Callithrix jacchus: one gene and its partners. The protein of the gene in region 1 purifies or fractionates together with the protein of each later gene. This does not show direct contact. Links are inferred from orthologs where the notes say so. Each region holds a gene or a part of one and is shown on either strand. Other genes may lie near its edges.

Region 1 (4,146 bases):
CCCATCCAAATTTTTCTGTCACCAAATATGGAGTAGTTTCTTCTCGTCCTGCTTTTACTATTTTAGTGAAACCCCTCCCCCTTGAGAGAATAGTTGTGGTTTCACAATTACAACAGAGTAACAGGTACTTCTTCTTAGTATTCACGTCCAATTCAAATAGGAAAGGATGATCAGGCCACGACATTCAGCCAGAATCCACTGTGGTCAGAATCTGTCCTAACAACAGTCAGGGCTTTCAGTCTGTTTTAAGAAGGTGAAACACTGTACACTAAAACTGAACAAACGTTTGCACTGCAGCAAACATTATGGCTCACGCCTGTAATCCCAGCACTTTGGGAGGCCGAGGCAGGCAGATCACCTGAGGTCAGGTGTTCAAGACCACCCTGGCCGGGCACAGTGGCTCAAGCCTGTAATCCCAGCACTTTGGAAGGCCAAGGCAGGTGGATCACAAGGTGAAGAGATCAAGACCATCCTGGTCAACATGGTGAAATCCCGTCTCTACTAAAAATACAAAAAATTAGCTGGGCATGGTGGCGCGTGCCTGTAATCCCAGCTACTCAGGAGGCTGAGGCAGGAGAATTGCCTGAACCCAGGAGGCGGAGGTTGCGGTGAGCCGAGATCGCGCCATTGCACTCCAGCCTGGGTTACAAGAGCGAAACTCCGTCTCAAAAAAAAAACACCCTGACCAACACGAAGAAGCCCCTCTCTACTAAAAATACAAAATTAGGCGTGGTGGCACATGCCTGTAATCCCAGCTACTCAGGAGGCTGAGGCAGGACAATCACTTGAACCCAGGAGGCAGAGGTTGCAGTGAGCCGAGATCGCACCATTCCACTCCAGCCTGGGCAACAAGAGTGAAACCCTGTCTCAAAAAAAAAAAAAAAAAAATGTTTGCAATGCAACCCAACCACCTATACAAGTCAGTAACATGCAAAACAGATACCACACGACTGCGAGGGGCCTAAAGAGGAGAGTCTGCTGGGAGTAGGTCTCAAGAACTTAGCTGAACACATACCACACACAGGTCCACCACTGACCGTGTGATCACTACAGGCATGGAACAAGTCACCAAGCCAACAGGTCCCCAGGTTATTAAAATATAGGGAAAGTTGGCTGGGTAATCCCAGCACTTTGGGAGGATCGCTAGAGCCCAGGAGTTCAAGACCAGCCTAAGCAATATACCAAGACCCCATCTCTATAAAATTTTTAAAAATAAAATTTTTTTTAAATCTAGAGAAAGAAAGGGAGGTTACAGAAATCACCAAAGAGCAGAAAGTCCAAGCCTACTCTGATTTCATCAATTAGCTTCCTAAAGTCTGCAGGATGCAGGTAAAAGATTAAAAACAAAATCTTTACTGAAGATTGGACAAACCACCACCAAAAAAAAGGCAAAAAATAAAAATAAACTGATCTTTTCTGGCCATTTCTCTAGCTAGCTAAGCAGCTTTCCCTCACATAGTCTTGTCCCTTACCTAGAACCCAAAAGAGTTGTGGTAGCTCAGAAACCCCCAGTAAACAGCCTCATGATTATTTAATGAAATAAAGTGTTCATTTGTGAGCAACGCTAGAAGCTGCAGAGATGGAACACCTAGTATACGGTTTACAGGTCATGGTGTTCATGTCTCAGGTCAGGAGTTTAGGAGCTCCTGGCCAAGTACGGAAAGCTAATCATTAGTGAGGAAATGGTTTGTTGAATAAATGAATGAATGAATAGCCAGATAAGGAACGATGCTTTCTTGAGCAAGACAGTTCCCAGGAAGGCCAAGGACCGGGAACTCCCAAAGTCAGCAAGGAAAAGCCACGAAGTCCACACGGACTTCCAGCACGCCCCCGCTGGCCAGGCAGCTGGCCTGCAACAAGGCATTTAGGCCCCACAGGTGTCAGGCATGAAGGTGAGGCTAATGCTCCACACTTCATAAACTGAGCCGGTCTCAAAGCACAGATGCGATCTTAATTCTTTCCAAAACATTAGCCTCCTCTCCCCGTTACAGCCCAGACTCCCAGAGGATCACATTTAGAACACAGCTGGGGAGAGGCAGGAGAGATGTGCCAGCTTTTATTTTCTTGGGAGGAGACCGGTCAATGGCCAGGGACCACTGAAACTGTCGGGAAACGGGTGAAGAGGGAAATCGAGACCCGCGAAATCCGCGAACTGGTCTGAGTCAGGAGCACAATCAGTGCTTAGTCACTGATACCCCGGCGGCCGGGAGTTCCTCGCCCCCTGCCAGCCCCAGACGTACGTGACAAACCGGAGAGGAGCCTGGCGCGCGCTCCTGAGCCCCGGCCCGGGCCTCCCCAGCCGGGCCCCGACGTTCGCCACCCGCTCCATACTTACTCTGCAGAGCTGGTCCCGTTAACCGCCGAGCCGTCGGGGGCCGGGTTCAGCTGGATGGGCGTCGGCTTCTTCTTGGGCATTTTGGACCCGGCTAAGGCGCTTTCAACTCCGGGGGGAGGGCAGCACCTCTCGCTTCCTCCCGCTGAGCTGCCCCGAGCCCGCTGCGCAGGTCCAAGTCCGGGCCGCGGGCCGCGGGGATGCCTTCGGCGGGTGCGCCCCGCGCGGTCCCGTCAGCTCCGAGGGGGCCGGTGGCGGTCTCAGGGGACCCCCGCCCCACCCGCCCGGGACTCGGCTCCGCGCGCAGCGAGCCGAAGGGCTGCCCGCAGGAGTGGAGCGAACTGAAAGTGCGGTTCGGCAGCCCGGGATTCCCTCCCTCTCTCCCTCAACCAACCAGTCTCTCCAGCTCAGGCGGCCCCGTCGCGCGCGCACCAGAGCCCAGCTCCAGCTCCTGTCGAGGAAACTGCCGCCGCCGCGCTCCTAGCCGCTAAGCGCATCGGCCCTGGGAGGGACTGGAGGTCGGGGGAGGGGCGGGGAAGGGGAAGCCTCGCCCCCCACCCGAGCTGCGGCGCTTTCCACACACCCACTCACTCCGCCCCTATTGCCTCGCCAACAACCAATGGGAGCAAGCCTCGGCGGCAGATGACGCGGAAATACGTCATGGGAGCGCGGCGCGCTGCCCTGGGGGCGGGGTCTGTCGCGGGCTCGACGGCGCCCTCTGCCGCCCGGAGACACGCAGGCTGACCCCTCCGAAAAGAGGTTCGTATCGGCTGCCGGTTGAGCTCCTCTAGGCCAAGTGCTGCGCGGCCTCCTCGTCTGCGGTAACTAGCCTGTCCCCAACCTTCGTCCCAAAGCCGAGTCCTGTTGACAGAAATGAAATAACAAAATAAATAAGGAAAAGGACCCCTTCCTGTGTCCAGAGGAGAGGCGGCGTGGTAAATAGGAAACTTGTCCAGAGACTCCTTGAGCCCAACGAACTGTCATTTATGTATTTTATTTGTTTAATAATACTCCTGAGAAGGGTGCGGGGAAATGGATACTCAGTGCTGATGAGACTGTAAATTGTTGCAACGGTTTTTGAGAGCAGATTGATTTTTTTTTTTTTTTTTTTTTGACGGGGTTTCACTATGTTGGTAACATTTTTTTTAAAGCCTTAAAAACACCCTTTACCAGTCCAGGAGTGGTGGCTCACGTCTGTAATCCCAGTGTTGCCTGAGCAGGGAGACTCCCCCCCCCACCCCTCCCCGGTCTCTACTGGCTGGGCGTGACTGAGTGCACCTGTAGTCTGAGCTACTGAGGAGACTGAGGCTGGAGGATCACTTGAGCCCAGGAGTTTGAGTCTGCAATGAGTTAGGATCACACCACTGCACACCAGCTTCAGAGCGAGACTCTTTAAAAACTTTCATCCAGGCTGGTCCGAGTGCCGTGGTGTTTACAACTAATTGATCACAACCAGTTACAGATTTCTTTTTTTTTTTTGAGACGCAGTTTCGCTGTTGTTACCCAAACTGGAGTGCAATGGCACGATCTCGGCTCACCGCAACCTCCGCCTCCTGGGTTCAAGCAATTCTCCTGCCTCAGCCTCCCGAGTAGCTGGGACTACAGGCACGCACCACTATGCCCAGCTAATTTTTTTGTATTTTTAGTAGAGACAGGGTTTCGCCCTGTTGACCAGGATGGTCTCGATCTCTTGACCTCGTGATCCACCCGCCTTGGCCTCCCAAAGTGCTGGGATTATAGGTGTGAGCCACCGCGCCCAGCCAGTTACAGATTTTTTTGTTCCTTCTCCACTCCCACTGCTTCACTTGACTAGC
Region 2 (4,309 bases), on another chromosome or scaffold:
ACAATTGCATTTGCACTTTAGAGAGAACACCTTGGTAACTGTGACGATCTGGTTGGCAGAAGGGAGACTGAATATGATGACAATCTAAGCAGTGTAATCACAACGGGGATGGAGACAAAAGCAGACACCTCAGAAATAGACACAGATTAAATGTAGGGCGTGAGGCAAGGAGCCTGGGGTGTTCCCATTGGGAACTGAGTACTTCTATGAATAGAGAATATAGCAGGAGCAGGGTGAATGTTTGATGGGTAGGATTTGAGTTGTCTGCCCTATACACAGGCCAAAGTGTTCATTAGCTGAAAATATTGAGGGGCTTCCAGACGATCTGGCCTGGATATACATATTGAAGGGTCTTCAGCAGTTAGAGACAAGTGTAGAAGAAGTTACTGAGTGGGCAAAGAAAAGAAAGGAAGCGGGCCGGGCATGGTGGTTCACGCCTGTAACCCCAGCACTTTGGGAGGCCAAGGCGGGTAGATTACCTAAGGTTAGGAGTTCCAGACCAGCCTGACCAGCATGGTGAAACCTCGTGTCTATTAAAAATACACAAAAAAATTAGCTGAGCGTGGTGGCGGATGCCTGTAATCCCGGCTACTTGAGAGGCTGAGGCGGGAGAATCGCTTGAACCCAGGCAGCAGGGGTTGCGGTGAGCCGAGATCGCGCCATTGCTCTCCAGCCTGGGCGACAAGAGCGAGACTCCTTCTCAAAAAAAAAAAAAAAAAAAGAAAGAAAGAAAGAAAGAAAGAAAACAAAAAAGAAAAAACGGAAGGAAGAGGGCTGCGGACAGAATACCGTTGAATACTAATATTTAAAGGGCAAGCCACAAGGTGCAGGGGGAAGAGACTTCCCTGATACGGGAAGAGAGTTATCTAAAAAAGAACTTGCAAAGAACAATGTCAAGGGCTCTAAAGGTCGGAGGTTTGGACAGAGCTCGGCTTCAGCATCCACATCTCAAACACCTGGGTAATCTGGTGACTGCTGCTGAATCTGAGAGGACTGAGGCCATGCTGCCGAACTGCGGAGCGTGGGGCTGGAGGACCTTTACGGCAGTCTGGGGACTGCCTGGGTCCAACCAGACACTCTGGACCACCTCAAAGGGCGTCTTCTCTTGAGTTTGGTGCAGAAGTTAGCTGGGTGGGGGGGCCAGTGAGAGAAGAGAGACGACCCATGATTTTGATTTCAGGAAGCAGACACCGGCAGCCTTTCGGTTAGAGCTGCGGGTAGGGCGGTGGCCCTGGGGCGGGGCTGTAAACCTGGGCCTGCATTGCCGGCAGGGCAAGCTCTGCGCGAGCGGGTTTGGAGGACAGGCTCTACCTTCTTCTTCCGCCTACCTATACTGTAGCGGGATGCAGAGCGGGGAGGGGATGAGGGGGCGGGGTTAGGGGGCGGGCGGGCCGGCTCTGGCCCCGCCTATTTCCGGCCGCTCAGGCCGGTGCGGCAGGGCGGGGCCGCTGGGGCGGGGCTTGAGGGGGGGGTTGACGGGACGGGGCGGGGCCTCGGGGACCCGGGCAGCCCGCGCACTTGGCAGAAGCTTGCATCTGCCGCCGCCCGCGCCTCCAAGGTTTCACGGTTTCCTCAGCAGAGAACCGAGGTCGGCCGCCATGTCCGCCGCAGAGGAGGTTGACGGACTGGGCGTGGCCCGGCCGCACTATGGCTGTGAGTGCGGGGCTCCACGGCACGGGGGCTTCGGGGCCGGGCTAACTGCAGACGAGGCGCGGTTTTCCTGGAGGCTCGGCCGGCCGGGTGGGGCAGGGCGGCTGCCGGCAGCTCGGACCCGGAAGAGCAGCCCGGGCGGGGCAGCGGGCGGCGAGGCCTCGGGTGCGAGCCCCCGCGGGCTCCGAGGCGGCGGCGAGGACCCCCGAGGCCTCCCCGCCTTAGCTGGGGCTGCGGTAGGGGGAGCCCCACCCAGCGCTTCCCGCCAGCCAGGCTCGACCGAGATTGGGGAAGGCGGCCTAGGGTGAGGTGGCAGGAGGACCGTGCAGGGCGTGTCCTGGGGACTGGGGTTTGGGGACGCGGGCTCTGCCACGGCTCCGTGGAAAGGCATTGCCCTAGTGCTGCCTGCGGGATGGACGCAGGGAGTAGACCGAGGTCCACACCTGCCCGATCCTAGGCTAGTTGAGAGGTGCCGTCCTGGGCAAGTCACTTCGGTTTTCTTGGGCTCAGTTCCCTCCTCAAGATTTCAAAAGTAAAAAGAAAAAAAAAAGGCAAAAAATCCTCTGACTTCCTCATTTTCTGTTGCCTGCCCTGGACGTCATTGAACTGCAGGCACGATTGGCTAAAGGAGGACCCTTTGGGGTTTTGAGGTTTTCAAGTATCAACATTTCGGACATCAACAGTTATATGTGTGGTTTGTGCAGCGTTTGTGAAATTAAAGATGAGTAAGATCAGGCCCTGCCTCCAGAGAACATTTTAATCAGACGGACAGGTGTGCAAGCTAATGTTTATAAAGTGCAATAGAGATAAAAGATGCTGAACCTACTAGCCATACAGAGTAATGTAGGTAAGGTAAGGAGAGGGGCTTGGGGAAGACAGTCTGAGTATGGGAGGTGACTTTTTTTTTTTTTTTCCCGAGAGAGAGAGAGAGAGAGAGAGAGAGAGAGTCAGTCTGTCTTGCTCTGTTACCCAGGCTGGAGTGCAGTGGCACAATCTCAGCCCACTGCAACCTCCACCTCCCAGGTTCCAGCGATTCTCCTCCCTCAGCCTCCCAAATAGCTGGGACTATAGGTGTTCACGATCACACTAAGCTAATTTTTGTATTTAGTAGAGACGGGGGTTTCACCATGTTGGCCAGGATGGTCTCAAACTCCTGACCTGAAGTAATCCCCCCGCCTGGGCCTCCCAAAGTGTGAGCCACTGCCCCCAGCCAGAAGTTGACATTTGAACAGACCCTTGAACCATGCTGTGTAGAAAGTTTGTCAGGTGGCCAGGTGTGGCTCCTACATGTAATCCCAGCAATTTGGGAAGCCGAGGTAAGAGGATTGTTTGAGGCCAGGAGTTTGAGACCAGCCTGGGCAGCATAGTGAGATCCCATCTCTTAAAAAAAAAACAAAAAACCAGGGGTGGTGGCCCACGGCTGTGGTTCCAGCTGCTCAGGGCTAAGGGTAGGATCATTTGAGCCCAGGAAGTGGAGGCTGCAGTGAGCCATGATTGTGCCACTGCACTCCAGTCAGAGTGACAGAACAAGACCCTGTCTCAAGAAACAAACGTGTTAGGGCATGGTGGAACAAGAGGCAGGACATGAGAGAAGGGCATAGACGAAGGTGGTGAATAGTTGAGGGACACTGTGTGTGCTGGGAAATGAGTGGTGTGGAGTGCACCGTGGTGGGAGGAAGCGCAGAGGAGAGTTTCCAAAAATAGTGGAGACCAGACTGGGAAAGGCCTTGAATGTCTTCCCAAGGAGTTAGGAATTTATTCCATACCTGGTACCCAGGAAGGAAGCAGATAGATGCCTTCAAGGTTAAGCTCGGGCTTTGGAGACAGACTCTCCAGCGTGAATTCAGGCCCTGCATTTGTTTGCCATGGGACTGAGCTCACCCAGCCTCAGTTTCTTCATCTGTAAAATAGGAGCAATAATCACAGGATTGTTATGGGGTTTCAGTGAGAGAATGCGGGTAAAATGCTTGTTACAATTACTGCCACTTATTTCTGAATAACTGCTGGTCATTAATAAAAGAAGGAAACAACATTATCAGATCTGTGTTTAGAAGTTCTGGCAGGTAGGGACAGATTTGGGCCAAAATCTCAAGACAGTATTTTTCAAGTTTTCATTAAATTTAGTACATATTTATATTATACATTTTTTAAAAGGTCAAGATGAGTATTGTTGAAACCACATAGTTCTTTTTTTAGGAAGGTCATTGTAGTACACCTAGCTAGCCACACATTCATCGGTTACCCTGACTTTCTAGGTGAGTAGCAGGAAATTGATGCTGTGGCAATCTTTTATCACTCAGGAAGGCAACAGATCCTGGTGTTTACATTCTTTCTTTTCTGTTTTAGCTGTCCTGGATAATGAAAGACTTACTGCAGAGGAGATGGATGAAAGGAGACGTCAGAATGTGGCTTATGAGTACCTTTGTCATTTGGAAGAAGCAAAGAGGTAAAGATTGGCTGGCTGGAGAGAAGATTAAGAGAAGGGAACTGATAATAGTGTGAATACAAATAAAGATTTCTTTGAGGCTGAGCTCGGTGGTCCACGTCTGTAATCCCAACGCGTTGGGAGGCCAAGGCAGGAGGATCACTTGAACCCAGCTGTTTGAGACAGACTGGGCAACATAGTGAGACCCTGTTTCTACAAAAAAAATTTAAAAGT
Region 3 (4,183 bases), on another chromosome or scaffold:
GTTCAAAGCAGACTTTCCATCATCATTTTAATGGTTTTGGGTAAGTTGATATGACTTCTGTAAGACTGTTGCCTTACATAACTATTACATTATAAAAACAGGCCTTCTGGCAGGGCTTGGCGACTCACGCCTGTAATCCCAGCACTTTGAGAGGCCAAGGCGAGTGGATCACCTGAGGTCAGGAGTTTGAGACCAGCCTGGCCAATATAATGAAACCTGGTCTCTACTAAAAATACAAAAATTAGCCAGATATGGTGGCACATACCTGTAATCCCAGCTACTTGGGAAGCTGAGGCAGGAGAATGGCTTGAACCCAGGAGGCAGAGGTTGCAGTGAGCCGAGAATGTGCCACTGCACTCCAGCCTGGGGGACAGAGCAAGACTCCATCTCAAAAAAAAAAAAAAAAAGAAAAAGAAAAAGAAAAAAAATCCTGAAAGAGAATATTAAAAAGCACATTGTAATAATATGCCTTACACTGTTTTCTAGACCCTGTCCTATCCAAATTTGACCAGCCTCGCCAATATGATGAAATCTATGGAAAAAAAGCCTTCCATTGTTGCATTATTTGTTGAACTCACCTACTCAACAAATAATGAAAGTGTAAGGCATATTATTATAATGTGACTTTTAAAATATTCTGTTTAAGGACCTAAAATAAATTCTATATGACTATGTGAGGCAACAGTCTTTTTGAGGGGGAGGCAACGGAGTTTTCCTTTTTATCTTTTTTTTTTGAGACGGAGTTTCGCTCGTTACCCAGGCTGGAGCGCAATGGCGCAGTCTCAGCTCACCGCAACCTCCGCCTCCTGGGTTCAGGCAATTCTCCTGCCTCAGCCTCCTGAGTAGCTGGGGTTACAGGCACGCGCCACCATGCCCAGCTAATTTTTGTATTTTTAGTAGAGACGGGGTTTCACCATGTTGACCAGGATGGTCTCGATCTCTTGACCTCGTGACCCACCCGCCTCGGCCTCCCAAAGTGCTGGGATTACAGGCTTGAGCCACCGCACCCGGCCGGAGTTTTGCTTTTGTTGTCTAGCCTGGAGTGCAATGGCACAGTCTCGGCTCACTGCTACCTCCACCTCCTGGGTTCAAGCGATTTTCCTGCCTCAGCCTCCCGAGTAACTGAGATTACAGGTGCCCACCATCACACCCAGCTAAGTTTTTGTATTTTTAGTAGAGACGGGGTTTTACCATGTTGGCCAGGCTGGTCTCGAACTCCTGACCTCAGGTGATCTGCCCAAAGTGCTGGTATTACAGGCGTAAGTCACCATGCCTGACCCAGTCTTACAGAATATAAGATAAATGGCAATGTGTGTCAAGTGTTTAACACGAAACACAGTTAAGACTAAAGAAATAGAAGACTACTTTATTTTTCTAAGCTGGTGCTCACTGCAACTTCCAACTTCTGGGCTCAAGCAATCCTCCCACTTCACTTCCGGCATAGCTGGGACTATAGGGGCATCAATGCGCCTGGCTAATTTTAAATTTTATTTTTGTAGAATGGGGTCTTGCTATGTTGCCCAGGCAGGTCTTGAACTCGCAGCCTCAAGCAATCCTTCCACCTCGGCCTCCCAAAGTGCTGCGATTACAGACTAAGCCACAGCACTGGCCATAAGACTATTTTATATTGTCTTGTTACACTCTCATCCCAGGAATTTCATTGGCAATTTAGGTATCAATTTTGACCTCACATGGATTAATTAGAAGTCCGTTGTTTTGTGCCTCCAACACTTAATATTCTCCAAACCCAAATGATCATTCTATTTCATGTTATGACTATCAGCTTACTTTAGCTTTCATTCATCACACACACACACACACACACACACACACACACACACACAGAGAGAGAGAGAGAGAGAGAGAGAGAGAGAGAGAGAGAGAGAGAGAGAGAGAGAGAAAGAGAGAGAGAACTCACCATGTTTCTAAAGAGGCATGGGTTAGAAATCACATCCTAAATTGCTGCAATAAACCTAATGAGATATTGTTACCACTTACGGGAAAAAAAGGATTCTGGGTACATGTCCCACTGACCACATACTGATGAGACAGGCAGCAAACCACCATTCAGAATTTCAAACGGTAAATATACAGAGCCTCTCTTATGCCCCAACTGGACTGGGGAGTAGGGAGAATAGAATTTTCTGTCTCAAGCACCTTAATGTCCTCCACCCACATTCGAGGCAGAAACTCAGGATCCTGCAAATTCATTCATATTAGTCTCCCACTCCAGTTACCAGAGAAAAACTGGGGTGGGTGGGGATGGGAGAATCAAAACAAATTTCTACTTGGGAAGCTCTACCTCTCCCCGCTCAGTATTCCCCTCCAAATTCCCCACCCTCCCCTTCCTCTTATGTGGGGGTGTCACTCACATCCGCCATGATGAACCCCCTTCTCTCGCAGGATCAATCTCCACGCCTGGAAGAGAAACTCCCGGTGACTCTTCCCTCTTGGCTTCCTCGTCCTCTCTACCCCCAACTTAATGAGAGAGATCAGGCCTGGACAGAACCAGGCAAAACTCCGGCTTGGCCCATCGAGTTCAGTGGGAGTCGGAGTGCCCCAACTCCGCCACGGGTACTCAGCCGGCACGCCTTACCTCACCCCACCCCATCCCTGCCCCTTCACCAGAAAGAGCTAGGCCCAAAGAAAAGAAGAGAGGGTCCTCCCCTTCTGTTTAGAATCACCACCCGCGCCACTCCCGGGACTAGACCTCAAAACCGGGCAAAGCAGCGCCAGTTACCTGGGGTTTCTACGCTGCCTGGTTCTCTCCACTGTCACTTCAGGGACGCTTTAAAGACCGGTTCCTCCTCAAGCCACTGTCACATGATTCGTGACCTCTTCTGTGCCCCAGGAAGCACTAGCTACGCAGTCGCCCCGTAATACGGGATTTCCGGAGGAGCCGGGCGGAAGCTGCGAGCGTGCTGGGCCCGACGGGCCTCGCCCCTCCCCCGCCCACCGCGGACCGCGTCTTGAGCCTGCGCCTTGTGTCACAGGCCGAAGGACGTCAGCTGTGGGGTAGGGAATTTGTACGAGATCGCTGGACTCTAAGAACCCCAGGAAATGCAAGCAAGGCTATGTGTTACAAGGCATTCTTGCGGAGAGGGTTTATAAATGTCATTAGTTTTTCAGGGTCCATTATCTTAAAACCTTTTCTTGTAGATGAAATTTGAGGGGATGGTGTGATGAGCTGAGCAGCAAGCCCCTTCTACATCAGAATTTAAAAAAATTAGTAAGGTCTCATGTAGCACTTTGGGAGTCCAAGGCAGGACGATTCTTTGAGCCCAGGAGTTCTAAACCAGCTTGGAAGGGAGGATCCCGTTTCTACCCCAAAAAAGAATTAGCCTTAGGTGATGTGCGGCCAGGAGGTACTCCGGAGGCTGAGGCAAACAGATCACTTGAGCCCAGGGTTTGAAGCTGCACTGAGTGGTGATCGCCCCACTGAACTCCAGCTTAAGTGACAGAGCGAGACCCTCAAAAGAAAAGCTTCTTTAGAAATCACATTCTCTTTCAGCTACCACCGTTTTTCCGCTACTCCGTTTCACAGCCAATTTTTCAGAAAATTTTAGCCTGGTTTTTAATTGCTGCCTCCATATGTCCCAAATCCAAAGAGAGTTCTGTTGATTCTACCTCCTGAGTATCTTTGAAAACTATTCACCTAACTATATTCCTACCTTAGTCCAAGCCATGATCATCTCTCTTTTGACAATAACCTCCTATCTTTCTTACATTTTCTTTTGCCCTCCAGTCTCCATATAGCAACTAAAATGATGTTCTAAAATCCCAAATCAGATCATGGAACTCCTTCCTTGAAAATCAATTTTGTTGACTTAGAATAAAGATCAATGTCAGCATCATGGTTTATATATCATTCTATGGGGATCTGGCCCCTATCTTAATTCTCTCATTTACCGTGGATCCCTTATGCTATGATCACCCAAGTTTGTTTTCACTTCCATAAAGATTTTTATCACTTTACCAGCTTAGCACATTCTGCCTTACTCCTACTAATCTCACTTTTGAGTGTCAGCTTAAACTCACTCTCAGAGAAGTCTTCCCTGACCCTCACTGAATAGTTTAGATCTTCTAGATAAATGCTCTCATTGTACCCTGTAATTTTCTTTGTAGCATTTATTATAATTATAATTATTTATTTGATATTTATTTTCATTGCTAGATGTAAACT
Region 4 (3,561 bases), on another chromosome or scaffold:
AACAGTTAATTTTTAGTTAACTTATATTTTACCTGCACAGTAATAAGAGTGGTGACTGTAAATGTAGGTAGCACTTTATTGTATTCCAATTTAAAAAACAAAATTAAGTCTGTACTTTAAAAAACTTTTACAATAGCAAGATATTTAATGAACTCTAGTTCATATCTAGTTTTTTTTTTTTCTGGTTTGAAAAGATCACCTTTCCCTGAATATTAAACAAAAATAATTGTAAAAATGAAAATACAGAACCATAATTTCCAAAAACGAAATGAATGGGCCAACAGTAAAATGCACAATGAGCCACAATTGTCCAAGTATTTAAAAATAAAGGCCAACTATGAGTCATAAAGAAGTTATCAACTTTTAAAAATATATGTATGTACTGCTACTCATAGCATACGCTGACCTAAAAGAGGCAGATACTGATTTTACAGCCAGTGACAAAAAATTTGAACGGAATTGCAGAACCCCCTGCTTGTGATCACTATATGAAATGGAAGAATAATTGAAATATTAAAATAGATCCTGAGCCCCTCAGCTGCTAATATTGCTGAAAAAGTGCTCCAAAAAAATAAAATTATGCTTCTGCCATTTAGTCATGCAAACTTGTTTTCCTGTTCACGTAGGGCCAGTTCTTTGAAAGGCACGGTTTACAGTTTCTGCACTAGTTGCGGGCTTTTGCATACTGAGCTTAGGTACAGATCATGATTTGTCAATCACATACTTAGGTAAGGGTTCCCCACTGGCCCTGTTCATAGCTGTTCAGTGGCATCATGGCCAGTAGAATATCGATGTGGTACCCCACAAGTTTTTTTTCTCTTGTTGAGCATCCTGTTTCTACTGTAGGTGATTTGTGTAATTGGCTACCATGTAGTACGAAAGACTGGATGCTTCAGTAGCTCTCTTGATGGAGGTCTGTCCTGAGGTTGAAGTTCTAAACAACGAAGAGCCACATCTCGTAAACCGGGAGACAGATGTGATGGGATCGATGGAGCAGTAGTTGCACTAGCAATCTGTGGAGAAAGAGCCAGAGTGTTAAAGCTTTGCACAACTGGAACTTCTGATACAGAAACACATGTGCATATACCTCATCATCCTTATATTCATATCCTGAACAGAGAGGAACTGAAGCAGAAGTGGGAGGACTTTCTGTTATCAATGTTCAGGTAGAGAAAGTATTCACTCCTATGAATTCTGTTTTCATATTCGGCCACAAAGATGGTTTGTTCTTATTGCACATTTTCTATTTCTTCAGCATAGACAGCTATTTAGATTAAGAAAGACTAAACCTGAATAGCCAATTTAGTACACAGAAAACACAACTGCATTGATTTTTTTCCTTCAATGTTGGACAAATTCTTAGTATCAAATGCATTATGAAGAATGACTTTTCAATAAATTTTACGTCTGAATACTTTAAACCCACCTACCCACTCCTAATCACAAGAAAACTCTTTCCTTTCCCTACCCCAATAATTTCATAAATGCTTTGGGTTAAAAAATGCAAAGTAATATAAAGAAAAATCCTATAAGGTCTGTGATGCTATATGAAGATATACTCAGCTGATACATACACATCTTAGACACCACAAAAAGGGAAAATACAAAACAAAAAATGAAATCCCTTTTCCTTTTCCCCAAATGTAACCACTTACTTCTGACGATTTGTGTTTTTGGTTTTTTTGTGTATGTGGAGAAAAAAAGGCCAATATATCTCACAGACTTTAGATTTTCTAAAATGTCTACAAAAGAGAAAACTTAATTTCGAGACAGGTTCTCTCTCACTGTCACCCAAGGTGAAGTGCAGTGGTGTGAACATGGCTCATTGCAGCTTTGACCTCCTGGGCTCAAACGATCCTTCCACCTCATAGCCTCCTGAGTACCTGGGAGCACAGGCAGGTGCTACTATGCTCAGCTAATTTTTTTTCTTTTTTTGTAGAGACAGGGTCTTGCTATGCCCAGGCTGGTCTCCAACTCCTGGGCTCAAGTTATGTTCTCACTTCAGCCCCCCAAAGTGCTGAGATCACAGGCATGAGCCACTGTGCCTGGCCAGGATCACTTTATGTATCTTGCTCTTTTCACTTATTAATGTATCTTGTAGCACTTTCTAAACACCAACAGCTTTATACTAAATTTATTTAATTTCTATATAGTTTTACATTGTGTGGATAATTTAATTACTTTCTTGAGTAGAGTGAATAATCCTGAACTTGGCACTTGGTACTTCTAGAGGTAATCTAGAGTAAATCCCTAACAATGGGCATAGCTGAGTCAAAGAATAAGTGCATTTAAATTCTGGCACTTATTTTTTTTGGGATTTTGCCAAAATCCAAATTTGGATTTGGATATTGCCAAATCGTTCTCTTAAAAAAATGTGCTACAGCAATTTTTACTACCATAAACAGGTATGTAAGTGTTTGAGAAAGCCGTTTTTCTGTCTCTTTGGGGTGCTTCCAAAGACCTCAAAGTATTTACTCCAAGTTAAGAAAACGGAAAATATTATAGTACAATTCTCTTTAAACTCTATCTATGAAGGAGAATGCAATGAAATCTGTTAAAATATGAATGGTGCCAATTTTAAAATCATTTCCATTTGTTTCCAGGGGCTCACCAAAACTCTGAAAATGACATCAAACTTTCAAATTGATCCTAGTTATGAGTATTTATCGAGCAACTTCTATTTAAGACTCTGGAAGGAAAAAAATGAAGCAGATGTGAATGGACCTCAAGGAGACTTAATTTGAAAAAGGAAGCAATATAGGAACTTAACTAGGATACAAGAAACAAAGTGTCAGAAACAAGTATGTACTAAAATGCTACAGAATCTGTGGAAGCAGTAAGAAGGGGGTGCCCAAGCAGGAGGAGCAGAGATATGGGCCTTAAAGCGATTAAGAATTTGATCCATGTGGAAAAGGGACATGGGAAGTCCGAAAGAATAGAGGAAATGAGGTAATAATACAAAACAGGTATTGTCAGAGAGGTGACTTAGGAGGTTATAGTAAGTGTGGGGAGGACTGGAGGAGGTGATGACAGGTGGAGTTGACTGTGTAGGTTGAGTGACTAAGGCCTAGGCATAATTTTGTTTATCTTCATGGTAATCCTATGAAGTATGTGCTTCATAGGATTCTTGCAGCAGTTTTACATATGAGAAAATGGAGGGTAGACACAAAAAATAATTTCCCTATGATCACAAGGCCATTAAGGGTTTAAAACTATGTCAGGGTGACTCCAAAGCCCATTATTTCAACTATCTCATGTCTACTGAAAAGTCTACTAAAAATGTCAACCATTACCTATTCTATGGTGGAAAAGCAGAGAGTGGATCTGTGAGTTATGAAAAGGTAGGTAGAACAGGATTTAGTAACTGAACTGACTTGGGTGTGAATTAGGCCAGGTGCAGTGGCTCATGCCTGTAATCCCAATACTTTGGGAGGCTGAGGTGGGCAGATCACTTGAGGTCAGGAGTTCAAGATCAGCCTGGCCAATGTGGTGAAACTCCATCTCTACTATAAATACAAAAATTAGCTGGGCGTGGTGGTGTGTGCCTGTAGTCCCAGCTAC

Evidence for each region.
Region 2: the proteins of MAP2K1 (region 1) and IQGAP1 purify together in Homo sapiens (affinity purification with western blotting; 3 studies listed by BioGRID, with this or other methods). This does not show direct contact. The link is inferred for Callithrix jacchus from reciprocal best matches to the Homo sapiens genes MAP2K1 and IQGAP1.
Region 3: the proteins of MAP2K1 (region 1) and LAMTOR3 purify together in Homo sapiens (affinity purification with western blotting; 3 studies listed by BioGRID, with this or other methods). This does not show direct contact. The link is inferred for Callithrix jacchus from reciprocal best matches to the Homo sapiens genes MAP2K1 and LAMTOR3.
Region 4: the proteins of MAP2K1 (region 1) and MAP3K1 purify together in Homo sapiens (affinity purification with western blotting; 3 studies listed by BioGRID and IntAct, with this or other methods). This does not show direct contact. The link is inferred for Callithrix jacchus from reciprocal best matches to the Homo sapiens genes MAP2K1 and MAP3K1.

What each region holds. Positions count from the first base shown.
Region 1 is NC_133509.1:13,421,068-13,425,213, reverse strand, and holds the start of MAP2K1 (dual specificity mitogen-activated protein kinase kinase 1), read right to left. Parts: upstream 2,847-4,146; 5' UTR 2,416-2,846; coding exon 2,336-2,415; intron 1-2,335. UniProt on the Homo sapiens protein: Dual specificity protein kinase which acts as an essential component of the MAP kinase signal transduction pathway.
Region 2 is NC_133507.1:20,015,321-20,019,629, reverse strand, and holds the start of IQGAP1 (ras GTPase-activating-like protein IQGAP1), read left to right. Parts: upstream 1-1,497; 5' UTR 1,498-1,598; coding exon 1,599-1,653; intron 1,654-3,996; coding exon 3,997-4,096; intron 4,097-4,309. UniProt on the Homo sapiens protein: Plays a crucial role in regulating the dynamics and assembly of the actin cytoskeleton.
Region 3 is NC_133504.1:97,478,816-97,482,998, reverse strand, and holds the start of LAMTOR3 (ragulator complex protein LAMTOR3), read right to left. Parts: upstream 2,826-4,183; 5' UTR 2,741-2,825; intron 2,419-2,740; 5' UTR 2,382-2,418; coding exon 2,373-2,381; intron 1-2,372. UniProt on the Homo sapiens protein: As part of the Ragulator complex it is involved in amino acid sensing and activation of mTORC1, a signaling complex promoting cell growth in response to growth factors, energy levels, and amino acids.
Region 4 is NC_133503.1:152,985,549-152,989,109, forward strand, and holds part of MAP3K1 (mitogen-activated protein kinase kinase kinase 1), read right to left. Parts: intron 2,802-3,561; exon of another isoform or gene 2,604-2,801; intron 1,014-2,603; coding exon 864-1,013; 3' UTR 1-863. UniProt on the Homo sapiens protein: Component of a protein kinase signal transduction cascade. Activates the ERK and JNK kinase pathways by phosphorylation of MAP2K1 and MAP2K4. May phosphorylate the MAPK8/JNK1 kinase.